Linked DNA regions of Oreochromis niloticus. Each later gene encodes a partner of the first gene's protein in a complex. Links are inferred from orthologs where the notes say so. Each region holds a gene or a part of one and is shown in the gene's direction. Other genes may lie near its edges.

Region 1 (7,131 bases):
CCACACATCCTTTAATATCTTTCTTATTTTTCGCAGCACACGCACAGTATGAATACGCATTTGAAACCTAAACAGTGGCGATTTAGCATGCTGAACATCAGCTTCAATAACCTCCCATTGATCAGCCCACACCCGCTCGCTCTTGTTGCGAGCAGCAGGAAATGAAAAGCATCACTGGAGACAGCGCAGCGGCATGCTTTCCCTTAATTCCTAATTAAGTTTAATTCCCAAACTGGTGTTGTTCTGTTTGCTAACAACAGAGTGCAGGAGGATCAAAAGGATTGTGATGAACATAAGGGAGAGATGATGAAAGAGCAGCATAGTGAAAAAGCTGTCTTATCTTTAAAGGCATTGTGCTGTTGCTCATGTGTTTGCATCTTTGGACTGAAAGCGAAGCTCAGTTTGAAAGAGAGCTCGACATTTAAAAATCAGGTAAGTTTGATGGGGTGGAACCATTCTGTTTTATCACGGTTCCATCTTCCCCTGTTGTGACAGCCATGTGGAGATGCTAATGCCTGGTTGAAGTGCGCTGGTCTGGTTAAAGGTGTGATGTTTAATGAGCGTTGAGTTAACAGGTAAACTGAAAATATAGCAGGATAAATTAATTTACTTTCCTTCACGAACCAGTGATGAGCAACAGATCAGGCTTACGGTAAAAATAATAAAACTGAATAGGAATGCACCAAAGATATGGCCCAGATCCTCACTCAAAAAGCTGGATGGGATATCCGCAACAAACAGCCCATAAACAGCCCAGTACTATGTCCTGTATTTACGCTGAAGAGCTAATTTAGACTGGGGGAAGTTAACAGCAAAGGTTCAGCAGTCTGGAGGTATTTCACACCTTCAACATCAACTGATTTTCTTCACATGTTTGAATATGTTTTTTACTCAACTATAAACTGTGGTGCCAGGATTAAAAAGCTTAGCAAAGACTCATTTGTTTGTTTACTATATCTCTGTACATTTGTTCAGAGAGACATTATATTTGGTAGAAGCTAGGAGGACACTGGTTCCACTGTTGTGACTTGTTGTGAAACACTTGATGCACCATTTCAAAGGTCTCAGACAGAAAGGAAATGGAAAACTACCACTACAAATACATTAAAAAAACCAAACATTGTTTGTCTTGTGCCTGCTGTCATGCATTATTCTTCTCACTGAAATAAACAGCGTAAATTTCTAAACTAAATGATCAACTATTATTAGCAAATTATAAAATCTTGTATGAATGTGCCTAATTTTATTTTAAAACGTCAGTATATCAGTGTTAAGTTGAGCCTGATGTTGCCTTAGCACCGAGAGAATGATTCCTAGTTTCTTCCTCACAATGACAAATACAGCTTAATCAAATACTGGCATTAGATCAACACTATCTGCAGACTTGTGAGGTCTTGGAACTGGAAAAATTTGGATTGGAGCATCACTAGGTGTAAGCCACTTCCCCATTGGCTTCCCTTTTCAAACCAAGGAGCTACACCCATCTTTTATTCTGTCTATGGTTTGGGGATTTAGGCTTCAGGTGTCCCAACTTGCCCTGTCATGCTTAATATACAAAAATGCGGAGCTGACACCTCTAATACCCTGCAAGGACACATCGACCATATCTTACCTGGTGTCAGTCTATCAGTTATGCAGGTAACTCCCCCCTTTAGCAAACAGATTTATTAGTGGACATAATCTAGTACTCAACAGCTGTCATTATCTTTAACCCACAGTCAAGCTTCAGTCCTCCTGCTGAAGTGTGCAGGGGCTACATGCCTTATCAGCATCTGGTTGACGCTAAACAGCGCCAATGTGGCATTTTTCTATTTATAACCATTGTCATAACATAAGTTTACACTGTAGGAATAAAAAAAAAAACTAAAAAATAAAAGGTCACAGGCGCTAACATGGCTGCCACCAAACACAGTAATGTCCAGGCTCTTTCAGAGAGCAGCTCTGGCTGCAGGAGCTGCTCGGCTAGCTGATGTTAGCGCGCCAGTCACAAACGGCAAACGTTAGCACAAGATAAGCTCAGCCAGAAATAAACTAACGGGCTCGTACCTGGAGCCCGCTAATTCAACACACACTGGTGTTTAAATTGGAAGATGCTAATGATTAATTTGAAACCAAAAGGCCGCCGAATATCGCATTCTTCGGTTGCAGAAATGAATGAACAGCAGCGGTTAGCTGGCTACATTAGCAGTGATGTCGCACAGGGAGGATGGAGAGAGATTGAATGAGCGCAAACAAACCTTTGCGCCTTCTGGATATCACGGAGAAAAGAAAAAAAAACTCCGTCGATGAAAACTGCTTCTCCACGCAAAAACACGAGAAGAGTTTTGTGGGGTGAGCCCGCTGAATACTACTGGGATACAGTCGAGGAGAGCACGGTTATCTGCTGCAGGAGATGGACCGTGGATGACAGCTCGGCCCGGATAACGGTGCGCCGCTGAGGACAGGTTCCTTTGCGACTGAGCATGCGCACCAGGGGTAGTTGGAAGCGTAAAGGGTGCATTCGGGCACCGCAGAAATTAAGAGCATAGCGGTATTCATAAGTATGAAATGACTGAAAAGGAACACTCAACATTAAGCACATAACTAAACGAATCTTGAATCTTGAATATTTAAAAAAAAAAAAGTAAATGAATTAATATATAAATAAAACAGCTTACAAATTACACAAATGAAAAAGCTTAATAACATAGAAAATTTAGAGAAAAAAGTAAAATAAACAAGTTCAGAGCTCTTTCTTGTCTGTCAGGGTAAAGGTCAAGCTGAAAGATGATGTGAAGGAGGAGTCTCCATGAACTATGATTTGCAGATTAACCTGTGATCTGAGAGTAGGGAGGAGTGAGAAGAGAGTCTGAAAGGGTGGAAGTATTCTCTGGAGTGAAGAGGAATGAAAGTCCGGAAAACCAAGACTAGAACAGGGAGGCAGACCTAATAGTGAAGACAGAAGAAACCAAAGCTAGTGAAGGCAGATTAGTTTAAATATAACATATAACATAATTTCCTCTTGAATGAATAAAGTATTTTAATTCCTGGAGTCAACCATGCAAAGCAACACACGAAGAAGAAAGTGCAGGTAGAGGGGATTTAGACATGTGTTAGTGATGATTTGTGGTAGAAAGACAGTAGCAAGAATGAAAGTGAAGGCTTTCATGATGGTATGAGACCTGCTGTGAAGGTGGTCCTGATAAAAAGACAGGAAGCTGAGCTGGAGGTGGAGTTAAACATGCTAAAATTTTCATTGTGAGCCTCCAGGATGGACAAGATTAGAAATGAGTACATCAGAGGAAGAAGTCAGTTTTGGAGCAGTTTGGAGATAAAGCTAAAGAGGCAAAGCTGGGATAGTTTGGACTTGTGCAGAGGAGGGTGTTGAAGATGGAGCTGCCAGGCATGAGGAAAAGAGGACTCTCACAGAGGAGGTTCATGGATGTAGTGAAGGCGGACATGTAGAGGGTTAGTGTGTCAGAGGTGGATGCTAAGGACAAGATGAGATGAAAGCAGGAGGTCTGCTGTGCTGAAAAGACAATTTGAAGGAGATATATGAAAGCTTACATGCAGCATATACTCATATAATATTACACATAATATTGACATTTATTTCTAGTTTGTGAGGCCGCAAATCTACTAATATTGAGCTTAATTCCATTCACAAAAGCCTAGAAAGGACTGAGAATTTTACCTTCTTTAAGTGAAACCTTTCTATCAAATATATTTCAGTGTAACTGAGTGACAAAACATGAATTTTATTATTATTTTTAATGCATAACATAAAACAACATTTAAAGAATGGAATATCCTCATACTAAATACATTTTGCTTTGTGATGTGTTTTCCAAAATTTCCAAATTCCTCCAAAGGAATAAAAAGCAGCTACTGAGTGCTATAAAGGACGAGCTTTCAATATGTCACTAAAGGCATCAAGCCATCACACCGCGCTGGGATTTCAAAATAAAAGACCCTTATCAATAAATTCTACGCCCAACATATCAAAAATAATGAAATACGACACAAATAAAGATTCTGAATGAATTTAAAGGAGTGTAATAAAATACTTATTAATTTGAGATACGCCAATTATTTAAAAAAATATATATTCTAGCCGCTTTTACGTTCACGTGTCTTATGCACTTCCGGGTTAGAGTTAAAAAAACATCGATGGCGGCCACATGCTTGTTGGAACGGTGAACCAGATCAGTATATTATAACAAAAACAGAATGAAGGACACACCGCTGTCCAACTGCGAGCGGGACTTCCTGCTTAAAGCCATCGAAGAGAAAAAGGTGGGTGAGATAATCAGCACGCGCTGTCGTGTGTTTGTGTGTGCGCGCGCGCAGCCTGAGGATGTACATTAGGACATGCATCGGTGTCCTATCCTGGCATCATTGCTCTGTTTTAGAGAGGATTGATGTGTATTATAGTGCCTTACCATAGCACACCTGCAGGCTTTCATCCGTACTCACGTGTCCTGTTTCTGTTCTCTTCCTTCAGCGCCTGGATGGACGGCAGACCTATGACTACAGGAAGATTAAGATCAGCTTTGGGACTGACTATGGGTGCTGCTTTGTGGATCTGGGACAAACCAGGTTAAGTTGCAGCCACATGTTTGCAATCGTGTGTCAAACTGAGCATCTGTGTACACTGAGCTCTGTATTCACTGTACGGCGCCCCGCAGGGTCATGGCGCAGGTGTCGTGCGAGCTGGTGGCTCCTAAAGAAAACCGACCGAATGAAGGAATCATGTTCTTCAACATCGAGCTGTCCCCGATGGCCTCACCGGGATTTGAGCAGGGAAGGTGAGGACGAACCTCACTCTTTGAATTCAGCTCATTCATTTATGTTCACTGGAATATAAAGAAATAAGCATGGTGTGTTTTTTATGGAGTGTAGGGGACATTGTTCCTGAATTTAATGAGATCTGGTGACTGGAAAGCATCCATAATAAGCTTCCATGTTCTGAGGCCGTGGTTCTCAGTTGGATGAGGGTGGAGTATCGACTGGGTTGGGGATGTATGCAGCGGGACACTGATAAAAGGATTGGTGGCACTTTTGTTTTGGTGAGGAGAAAGGTTACCATGAAACGATAGCTGTCCATCTATGTCACCACGAGCTGTGGTTAGTGACTGAAATTGTGGATGCGAGCGACAGACATGAGCTCCTCCAAAGGCAGTGTGTGCTCAGTCGTAGAGACAGGGTGTGGAGCTTGTTCTTTCAGGAGGCACACAGAGTACAGCTGCTAACATAAGGAACTAGCTGAGGTGGCTTGGGCATCTGATCTATGGTGCTCCTGCTCCTGGCTTCTAAGTGAGGTAATTAAGGGTTGATCTACTGTAGCTACCTTAGCTTACCAACAATTCTGATTTACATGGAAATAATATGTAAGAGGACCTCTGTGTTTGGAAAATGATAGCTGGTGAATTATAGATGACCTCTGCAGTTATTGTAAATTACAATAAGTTCCCGAGTAGTGGTCCTCCCCTGGGGCTGACTGGTTCATTTAGACAGACTGCTGGAGCAGAGAGTGTAAATCATCTGTGGGGTTTTCTGTGTTTCCAGACAGTCTGAGCTGTCAGTGAAGCTAAACAGACAGCTGGAGAGATGCCTGAGAAACTCCAAGTGCATCGATACGGAGTCTCTGTGTGTGGTGTCTGGAGAAAAGGTAATGCACACACACACACACGACAGACAGAAAGAAGCTTCATGTATTGATGATGATGATGGTGGTGGTGCTTGCTTGTGGGTTTCTAGGTGTGGCAGATCAGGGTGGATGTTCACACACTGAATAATGATGGAAACCTGATGGATGCCGCCAGCATTGCCGCCATCACTGCTCTGTGCCACTTCAGGCGCCCTGACGTCAGCACCCAGGGACAGGAAGTCACAGTGGTGAGTCAGCAGCACCACAGCAGGTGGTGTCTGAGCTTCCCTGGACCTGCTGGGAGAAAAGTGATGATGTTATTGTTTTCATGAGAATTCTGCTTTATGTTAGCTGTATTTTTTTTTTTTTTTAATTTCTGTCTTCAGTACAGTCCAGAGGAGAGAGACCCTATTCCTCTGAGTATCTACCACATGCCCATCAGCGTCAGCTTCGCCTTCTTCCAACAAGGGTAAAAGATTGCTTCTCACAAGATTTTTTTCTCCTGTTTATCAAAATTTTAATGTCATGTTTACAGGTGCAGCAGGTTTTAGTTAACTCAGTATATTCAGTAGTGTTTATAGAGAGTCACTTCAGACCTCCACCAGAACAAAACTCGTGGAGGGGCAGCCCTCATCAGCCTGCCACGACCAGCTGGGGAGTGAGGGGAAAGCAGGAGACAGAGAGAAGAGAAAAGTATTAGTGGTATACACTCACTGGACACATTGTTAGGTACACCTGTTCAGCAGCTTACTAAGCAGCTCAGTGCATTGAGGCATGAAGACAGTGCCGTGGTTGCTGGTGTTACACGGGCCGGGGTATTTCAGAAACTGTTGATCTTCTGGGACTTTTCCCACATGGAAAAACATCACCTGGTCTGACAGCACCTTGATTTCTGCTGTGACATTTGCATGATAGCGCCTGAATTTGGGGTGAACGATATGAAAGCATGAGTCCACCCTGCCTGTGATGATGTGATAGTGTGAGGGACTTTTTTGGGGGAAACTCTGGATTCCTCCTTGTTTCAACTCCACAGCCTGCCTGTGGGTTGTTGCTCACCATCTTTATGATCAGTGCACACATGATAAAACTCAGATCATCTCAACCTGATACTAACGAGGTGTACCTAATAAATTTGCCAGTGAGAGTGAATATAAATTTGACTTTAGCGGCACAACTGAGTGAGGGTTCGGGGTCACCTGATCCAGCATTTAACTGTAGTAACATGCAGGCGATCAGGCGAGCAACTTAACTGAACTCGGGCTGTTTTCTTAAACAGTCCACTTATTTTCTGCGGACCTTCTGAGTACCTGCAGGTGACCACTTGTTTGAACGTTAACATTCCTCATTGTGTCCTTGCAGTACTTACCTGCTGGTGGACCCGTGTGAGCGGGAGGAGCGAGTGATGGATGGCCTGTTGGTAATCGCCATGAACAAACACAGGGAGATCTGCTCCATCCAGTCCAGCGGAGGAATCATGCTCCTTAAAGAGCAGGTGAGCTCCT
Region 2 (7,249 bases), on another chromosome or scaffold:
TTTGGTGTTCTCCCTTCATAAAAACTAAAAATCACTTGCTGTTTAGTTCAGCTCAAGCCAAGATGACTAAAAGATCTGGAGGAAATAAAACTACCTGCTTGTGTCACAGGATCACTGAAGGGCTCTCGCTGGATTTCGTTCAGTAATCAGCAACAGTTGGCCTTTCAGTCAAAAACACTCCCTAGTCCTGTGTCCTCCAGAACTCCTCATTTTTATGTATTCATTTTTAATTTTAAATTATAGTTAATATAAAGGAGTCCTGCAGCAGACTGGCGACCTGTCCAGGGTGTACCCTGCCTCTCGCCCTAAAACAGTGGATAGGCGGAAATGAATGAATGAATGAATGGATAAAGAAAATACCCTTTGAGACACCAATTTTTAAAGTTCAAAAACTGCTGGTGTTGTGTTTTAAATAATCAGGTTGAGCCAGGAGATGCAGGAGGAAACATACCTGTCTTTGAGACTCATAAAGAATGCGGTCCATTGTGTTCAGCAGGGTCATCTTCTGATAAAAGTTCAAAACTGTCTCTTTGGAGAGCTGTGTTGGAGAGAAACACACAATTGACAAATTAACTTTGGCTCAACAGACTGCAGAGGTCTTAGGGGCACATTTGGGAACCAGGAGCACAGGCAGGCTGATTGTACCTGAGGGTCTTGAGAGGGGTTGATGATATTTCCCTGCCTGTCCATCACCCGGTACACTGGGATCCCAGAAATGACATTGGGCTGGATGAACTCGAGCTGATCCACAAACTCGGCTGAGGCTCCTGGAAACTGGGGCTTTTCCAGCGATGAGTCAAAGGGCTGCTGCAGCTGAACAACCTGAAAAGATTGATTACAATCATTATTTATTAAGAATCTCATTGTGGCTGTGGCAAAAAAAAGGCTCTAGGAAAAGAAAACACTGCATATCAGGTCACAAAACTCATACAAACTGTCAAGCACGGTGGTGGAGGGGTGATTTGAGCTTTTTTTGCAGCCACACAGCCGTGAACTCTTCTGTATACCAAAGTATTCTAGAGTCAAATGTGAGGCCATGTGTCTGACAACCACTGGGTCATGCAACTGGATAATACTAAGCAGAGCAGCAAATCTACAGCAGGATAGCTGAAAAAAAGGTGTTCCAACGTCCCAGTGACCTTTAACCTGACTGAGATTCTGTGGTAGGACCTTATGAGAGGTGTGCACAAACAACTTACCTGAATTTATTTTGTTAATAATATTTTTTGTATTTGTGTTGCTTCGTTGTATTTTGCTCTTTTCCCCCCCCACGGGTTTGTCCACCAGCACTTTGAACTGAATTAATAAACTGCATAAAAATGGAATTAAAAATTAAGTTTCATTGATTGATTATTAGTTTTAGTTTTATTTTTTTCAAAAGGCTAGTTTCTAATTTTAGGTAACCTTTTTAACATCTAGTTTAAGCTTTTAGTTTTGTTTTAGTTAACTACAATAACACTCGTTGAATCTTTAGACATTTTAGAAAGCTTAACTTCAGAAAGCTGAAGACAATACAATACTCTTATAAATCATGAATAAGTATGTACTTCTTACAGTGCAGTTCCATTGCTCCACTATAACAACCATTTCCAAATCTCCCTCCCATACAGATTTTAGACACTCCAAATGATTATTGATGGACCTATAAATAAATAAATTAGATTATTTTTAAAGAGTTACATACAGATTTAAGTGCTGGAGCGATCGAAGGAAATAAAATAGCAGCGAAGGCCATAGAGCAGCAACAGTTATTAAATAAAGTTGTTTTGAAAAAATGATGCATTCGAGGACATCGGATTTAAGCTTAATGCAGTTTGGATGCAAACTGCATTTCGTTGCCCTGTACCTGTGACATGTGCAATGACAATAAAGTTGAATTCTATTCTATTCTATTTCCTCCTTCACGCCCCTTGGTTCGACCAATGGAAAAGAAGCTAGCTAAGCCTTTAGCCGGTTGGCTAACTAGTCAAGTGTGAGAGTCAAAACAACAAAAATTAAAATTAGTATTTATTGCAACTAAAGTTGTTTATTAAAGATCAAACATGTATTCACTAAATATGTGAGAGTTAGTTTGACTTTTCACTGATACATTGGAGAATCGGTATAGAATTTCAGCAAGGTTGTTAGCCATGCTAGCAGCTCCGTAGCTAACCAGAATCTTTGCGCAAACAAGACATAACCCCAAAACTTATTAAAAGATAGGGTGACAATATTTCGAATTCCAAAAAAGAGGACACTTGGCCCAATCATGAAGAACTATAATAATACTGTTTGCTTAAAGAAAACTGTGCGGTTAATGAATGGTGAAATAAAAAATGTTTCCCGGCCCCTCAATGGCAGCGTTATCTCCAGTCCAGACTCCGCAGGAGCGACTTTTCCCATAATTTATTCATCGCCCTATCCAAACACTGCATCGGAGTTTTCACTTACAGTGACCCTGAAGCCTCTGCGCTGCAGCAGTCGAGATGCCTTCAGTCCTGCTGTCTGGCGGACAGCGTGGAAACAGAGCCCATACATTTTGCTCATGCTGCTCACAGCCGCCATCGGCACTCAGTAGTTGTTTGATTTAACCGCCGCTGCACACCGGTTTAGAGAAGTTACACTGTGGTGGATATGTAAAAATCTGGCCAACGGAACTGCTAATAACCACCGCTCGCTGTCCTTCCTGTTTACATCCACAGTTTACAGGCCGATAGCCGCAAACTGACTGCACCATTAAAGCCGGCTACAGTATCCTCAACATCCGGCCAGGCCTTCAAAATAAAACCTTAAGTTTAGTTGTCCGTTTTTACATATTTCATAAGTTGAAGAAATGAGCGATTAAAGATGTCGAGATTTAACACTCTTTTGTGTTAGAATAGCAATAATAAATAAATAAATAAATAAATAAATAATGCGTGGGTTTTCCAGAAAGGCAGAGTGCCAGTTTTATGAATTAAAGCTCCCCCTCCCAGTCGGGGAATTAACCTGATGAAAGTCCATTGTGTGATACTGACCTGTTAATTAAAATACTGTCACTATGTTATATGCGTCACGAAGCGCCTTGGTCGTTTTCCGGTGGCCTTTTTGGGGCGATTTTAACTTATCAAAATCAGTATTGCCTATTTTAAGACACATTGCCTGCTCAGACACAGCAACGCAGTCACATTAACAACAAACGACAGTTATTACAATGTGATATATAATACATCTTACAAAAAGAAGTAAAAGTAAAAAAAAAAAAATGAATGAAAAATTGCGCATGTGTCTTTTTGGACATACAGATCAGCTGTAACATGCCTGAAACAGTTTGTAATAAAACAGCGTTCCTCTAACGAACTCTACCTGAGATGTCAGTTATACCTAAGTTAGAGAGTCAGGGGCAGATATGCAATAGGAAAGAAAGAAAAAGAGAGAAGGGAGGATAGAGCCGTAAGCAGTATGGAAAAACTGATGAACACAAGTGTTCTTAAATACAGTCATAAAAGAACGATTTCTACGTCCTTTCAACCCTACCAAAAATTAAACCCTACTCTGCTGCCATCTTGTGGTCACAGTGCAGTAGTGCATTAATAGCAAAAGCAACGTCAGTGGCATGCACAGTAAAGAATATTATTACTTCCAGTCCCGATGATAAACCAAGTAATATCGCAGGTAGAGGCGTTGACATATTAAAATAAAGTATTTCAACTACTTGTCAAAATCTGAAAATGTCTTCGCTTCAGTTCTGAGCTAACTGATGTTGTAAATGCAGACTGCAGATAAATCAATTTTTGCAGCCACGAGTATTTATCGCCATCTAGTGGTGATAGCGCGAGCTGCAACATGGTGATTGCAATTCACATCATGCCAGTGAAAGCTCACCTGTGGAAAGCAGTAAATAAACTGATGTAGATAAAATTCCGGTGGGTGGTTATGACGAATAATGAAAAAAAAAAAAGAGAAGAAAATGATAGGTTGACACCGTTGTGTTTAAATGCAGCTGCTGCCTGCCATCTGGCGGTCATTGTGAGTAACTACACATTGTTAAACTCACAGTTTACACTATTATACGGATGCTGCACTTCCGGTACTTTCAAAATACATTAAACGTATTAAGGCAAAGTAGGGCTTCAGATTGCGTCAGGAAAACGTGAATTATGATGAAAAAATATTATTTTTTTCTTCGTTGTCATAGATATATATTACAGATCCACATTTCTTGTGAATTAACTATTTATTAAAGCTAACATTTCTTTCTCATTCTGATGTCATCAGTAAGGAGCGTAAACTACAGGGAAAACAGATGACGCCATCCGCCTGCGACAAATCTGCTTTCTCCACGATGGAGGTCTGCGGCTCCCTGACTGTTTCTTTGAGAGAGTTTGGTTGTGAACAGAGCTTGCTGTCTCGACCTGATGGCTCTGCTTCCTTCGTCCAAGGTAACACTAATTTTAGAAACTATTTATCTGGGCGTTTATTTGCCTCTTACCGCTAAACTGGACTTAAAAGACGGAGAAAGGTTAGGGAACATCTCTGGAAATTAACCTGCCACTTCAGTTACTGACATGACTTTCTTTACCTTTATGAATAAGAATAAAAGTAAAACATGCTGGGGGGGTATTGTTAATCAGGCATAATATTTACCTTTTCGCAAAACTGGTAATCTTATTTATACATATTTATATCTCGGGGTTTTAACATGCTTCGATGTGATTATGCAAATGTAATATAAGAAATATTGAACTATTTGTCAAAATAATGTAACGATGAGAATCAGGAGCGCATCTATTGTGGTGGTATGGGGTGGCATGGGGTGGCATGTGCCATCTTACCTTTGTATATGACAATGTTGTTTATTAAAATAAGGTAGCATTAACTTTGAGCCTAGCTACAACTAATTAATAAAATAAAATACATTTATTGCATAGTGTTAACCGCCCTCCAGGGGCGGATCTACTGTGCACATTTTGAATCAACACCATGGACATTTCAGATTTCAACACTTCTCTGGAGGCTTCCAAGTCACATGACCAATTTAAGATGACATAGCAACAAGATGCAGTCTCCATTTAATTTTCATTTTTGTTGAAAGTTCAAACTATGTACCAAGAAAAGTTAAAAAACTGCATTTTCTAATAACAGCGCGAAAAAAACCCACCACTTTCCTATTGGTGGAAAAATGTACCATATTGACCAATCAAAAAAAATTATCTGGCAACATGTGACATTTGTGTTTTGGGGAAAAGGGGAGAGCAATTCTACAGTCATTGGATGTGAGAGATTTGTGACATTTAACGTGTTTGGAGTGTGTAGTTAATGTAAAGTTAGTGTGTTGTGTAGTTCTTTGTTTTGTTTTTATGTGTCAAAACAATGAGGACACTAGTGATTGTCACAGTTGCTGCCAAAAGCCATCAAAGGCAGATTGCAGCGTAAACGCTGTCTCCAGGTGAAAAACAGTGATACGCATACTGTTGTTAGACCTGCAGGTTTCAGGTCTGTGATGTGCTCCTCTTTCTTGTGGTGGACAGAAACTTTCTTTTGGAGTGGCACAAATAATTTGTGTGGCATCTTATTGTGACACCTGTTCTGTAATTATAGTTTTAGTAGTTGTACAAAAATGTCTGAGGCATTGGCTGCATTATTAGGTAAATAGTTGCATGTATCTTTATTCTTTGCAAGATTTGTGCAGGCGTTTTTAAAATTTACAATTTATATTTGCAATTCTGAAACATTTTGGCGTTTTATTTGTTTTGTTTTTTGTTTTTTACAGTAAAACCTTTTTCCTGCTCAGATTTTTTTGGGGATGTAAATTCAGACATGTGAGATTGTGCTGAAAAGAATGATACCAAACAAGACAAGGCAAATAGTTTTTAAAGGTGAAATGTAAAGGTAAAATTAGTAAGTAGTCAAAAATGGCCAATAATATCCTGGACATCAGAGGGTTAACCTAATAAATCATGAAAAATTGTGGTGAAAACTTTTTCATGACAGTGCAGACTTCTGGCAATTTGTGTAAATTAAAGCCTGTAACAATTTGATTATTTCTAATTTTAAAAAGAGTGTGAAACTAACCGAACTGAACTTCTAACTGAACCATCTCATGTCTTGTACCTCTATGTATTTTATACTTAATGGCCAAATGCCTATTTATTATATAGGCTATACAGTACATCAAATCAAAATGTACATGTTTTATGTAACTGAAATGTTTAATTATTTGGGCTAAAGAAAATAAGAAAGTTACAGACTATGTTTATATGAAATGTGTATACTTACTGCATTTGATGTATTTTAAACATATATAATGTCTGTCACAGAATGTAACACCTATGTGGACAATAAGACCAAGGTTCAGGGCATGGGCATGGGGATGACTCAGTATCCTTCTGTAATTTGTGTTTATACTTTTACCTTTAATATTCAGATTATTACTCCAGAATGATTCAGAGATGAGCCCAGCACCCTGTGTACCCCGCCTCTCGCCCTATGATAGCTGATAATGATAAGCAGAAATGGATGGATGGGCTGATTCAGTGTCTTTAAAAAATGTCTTAAGAATAAATGTGAAATTTACATGATGAGACTTTGTGACATCAGCTTTAGTTCTCTTATTAAAAGCTTGTTCTAAATAGGGTGTCTGCGTTTGAGTCCCCTCTTTAAAAACTACATGTGCTGTGAGCATATTTACTGGGTGTCGTACTGCTTTCAATGATTTGATGTTACTGCTTTTCCCCTCCTAGATGTCTGTTTATGTGGGGAAAGACATCATTAATGCTCCAGTGTTATTTATTGAAAAATGCTCCTTTTTGTTCTTGTTTGAAGGAGACACGAGTGTGATGGCTGGAGTGTACGGACCAGCTGAGGTCAAAGTCAGCAAGGAGATCTATGACCGGGCGACCCTGGAGGTGTTGGTACAGCCCAAAGTGGGGTTGCCAAGTGAGTTTTTCTTTTTAAGGGGTAAAAAATTTCATTATGCAGCGTTGCTTATTTTATTTTAGGGAAATAGACTTTTTGCATCCTGATATCTACAAGAATGTTTCAGAGGTTTCTGCTGTGGAAAAAGCTGCTATACCACAGCTCACCACAGGGTGGGGTACGTGAGCTTTCTGCTCACATTAAGTTTTTTTATACCTCGATTTGTTTGTTTTGTAGGTGTAAGGGAACGATCACAAGAGCAGTGTGTGCGAGAAACCTGTGAGGCTTCTCTGCTCCTGACGCTCCATCCACGCTCCTCGCTCACTCTCATTCTTCAGGTCCTGCATGATGATGGTTCAGTATCCTTCTGTAA

Evidence for each region.
Region 2: exosc9 (region 1) and exosc5 share a complex: the UniProt entries of both Homo sapiens proteins name them as parts of the RNA exosome core complex. The link is inferred for Oreochromis niloticus from reciprocal best matches to the Homo sapiens genes EXOSC9 and EXOSC5.

What each region holds. Positions count from the first base shown.
Region 1 is NC_031971.2:37,044,726-37,051,856, reverse strand, and holds the start of exosc9 (exosome complex component RRP45), read left to right. Parts: upstream 1-4,115; 5' UTR 4,116-4,209; coding exon 4,210-4,275; intron 4,276-4,483; coding exon 4,484-4,578; intron 4,579-4,667; coding exon 4,668-4,787; intron 4,788-5,547; coding exon 5,548-5,650; intron 5,651-5,739; coding exon 5,740-5,877; intron 5,878-6,015; coding exon 6,016-6,098; intron 6,099-6,988; coding exon 6,989-7,121; intron 7,122-7,131. UniProt on the Homo sapiens protein: Non-catalytic component of the RNA exosome complex which has 3'->5' exoribonuclease activity and participates in a multitude of cellular RNA processing and degradation events.
Region 2 is NC_031979.2:33,448,965-33,456,213, forward strand, and holds the start of exosc5 (exosome complex component RRP46), read left to right. Parts: upstream 1-4,246; 5' UTR 4,247-4,264; coding exon 4,265-4,400; intron 4,401-6,783; coding exon 6,784-6,897; intron 6,898-7,113; coding exon 7,114-7,235; intron 7,236-7,249. Other genes in the region: bckdha (2-oxoisovalerate dehydrogenase subunit alpha, mitochondrial), read right to left, coding at 452-538, 646-822, 2,431-2,544. UniProt on the Homo sapiens protein: Non-catalytic component of the RNA exosome complex which has 3'->5' exoribonuclease activity and participates in a multitude of cellular RNA processing and degradation events.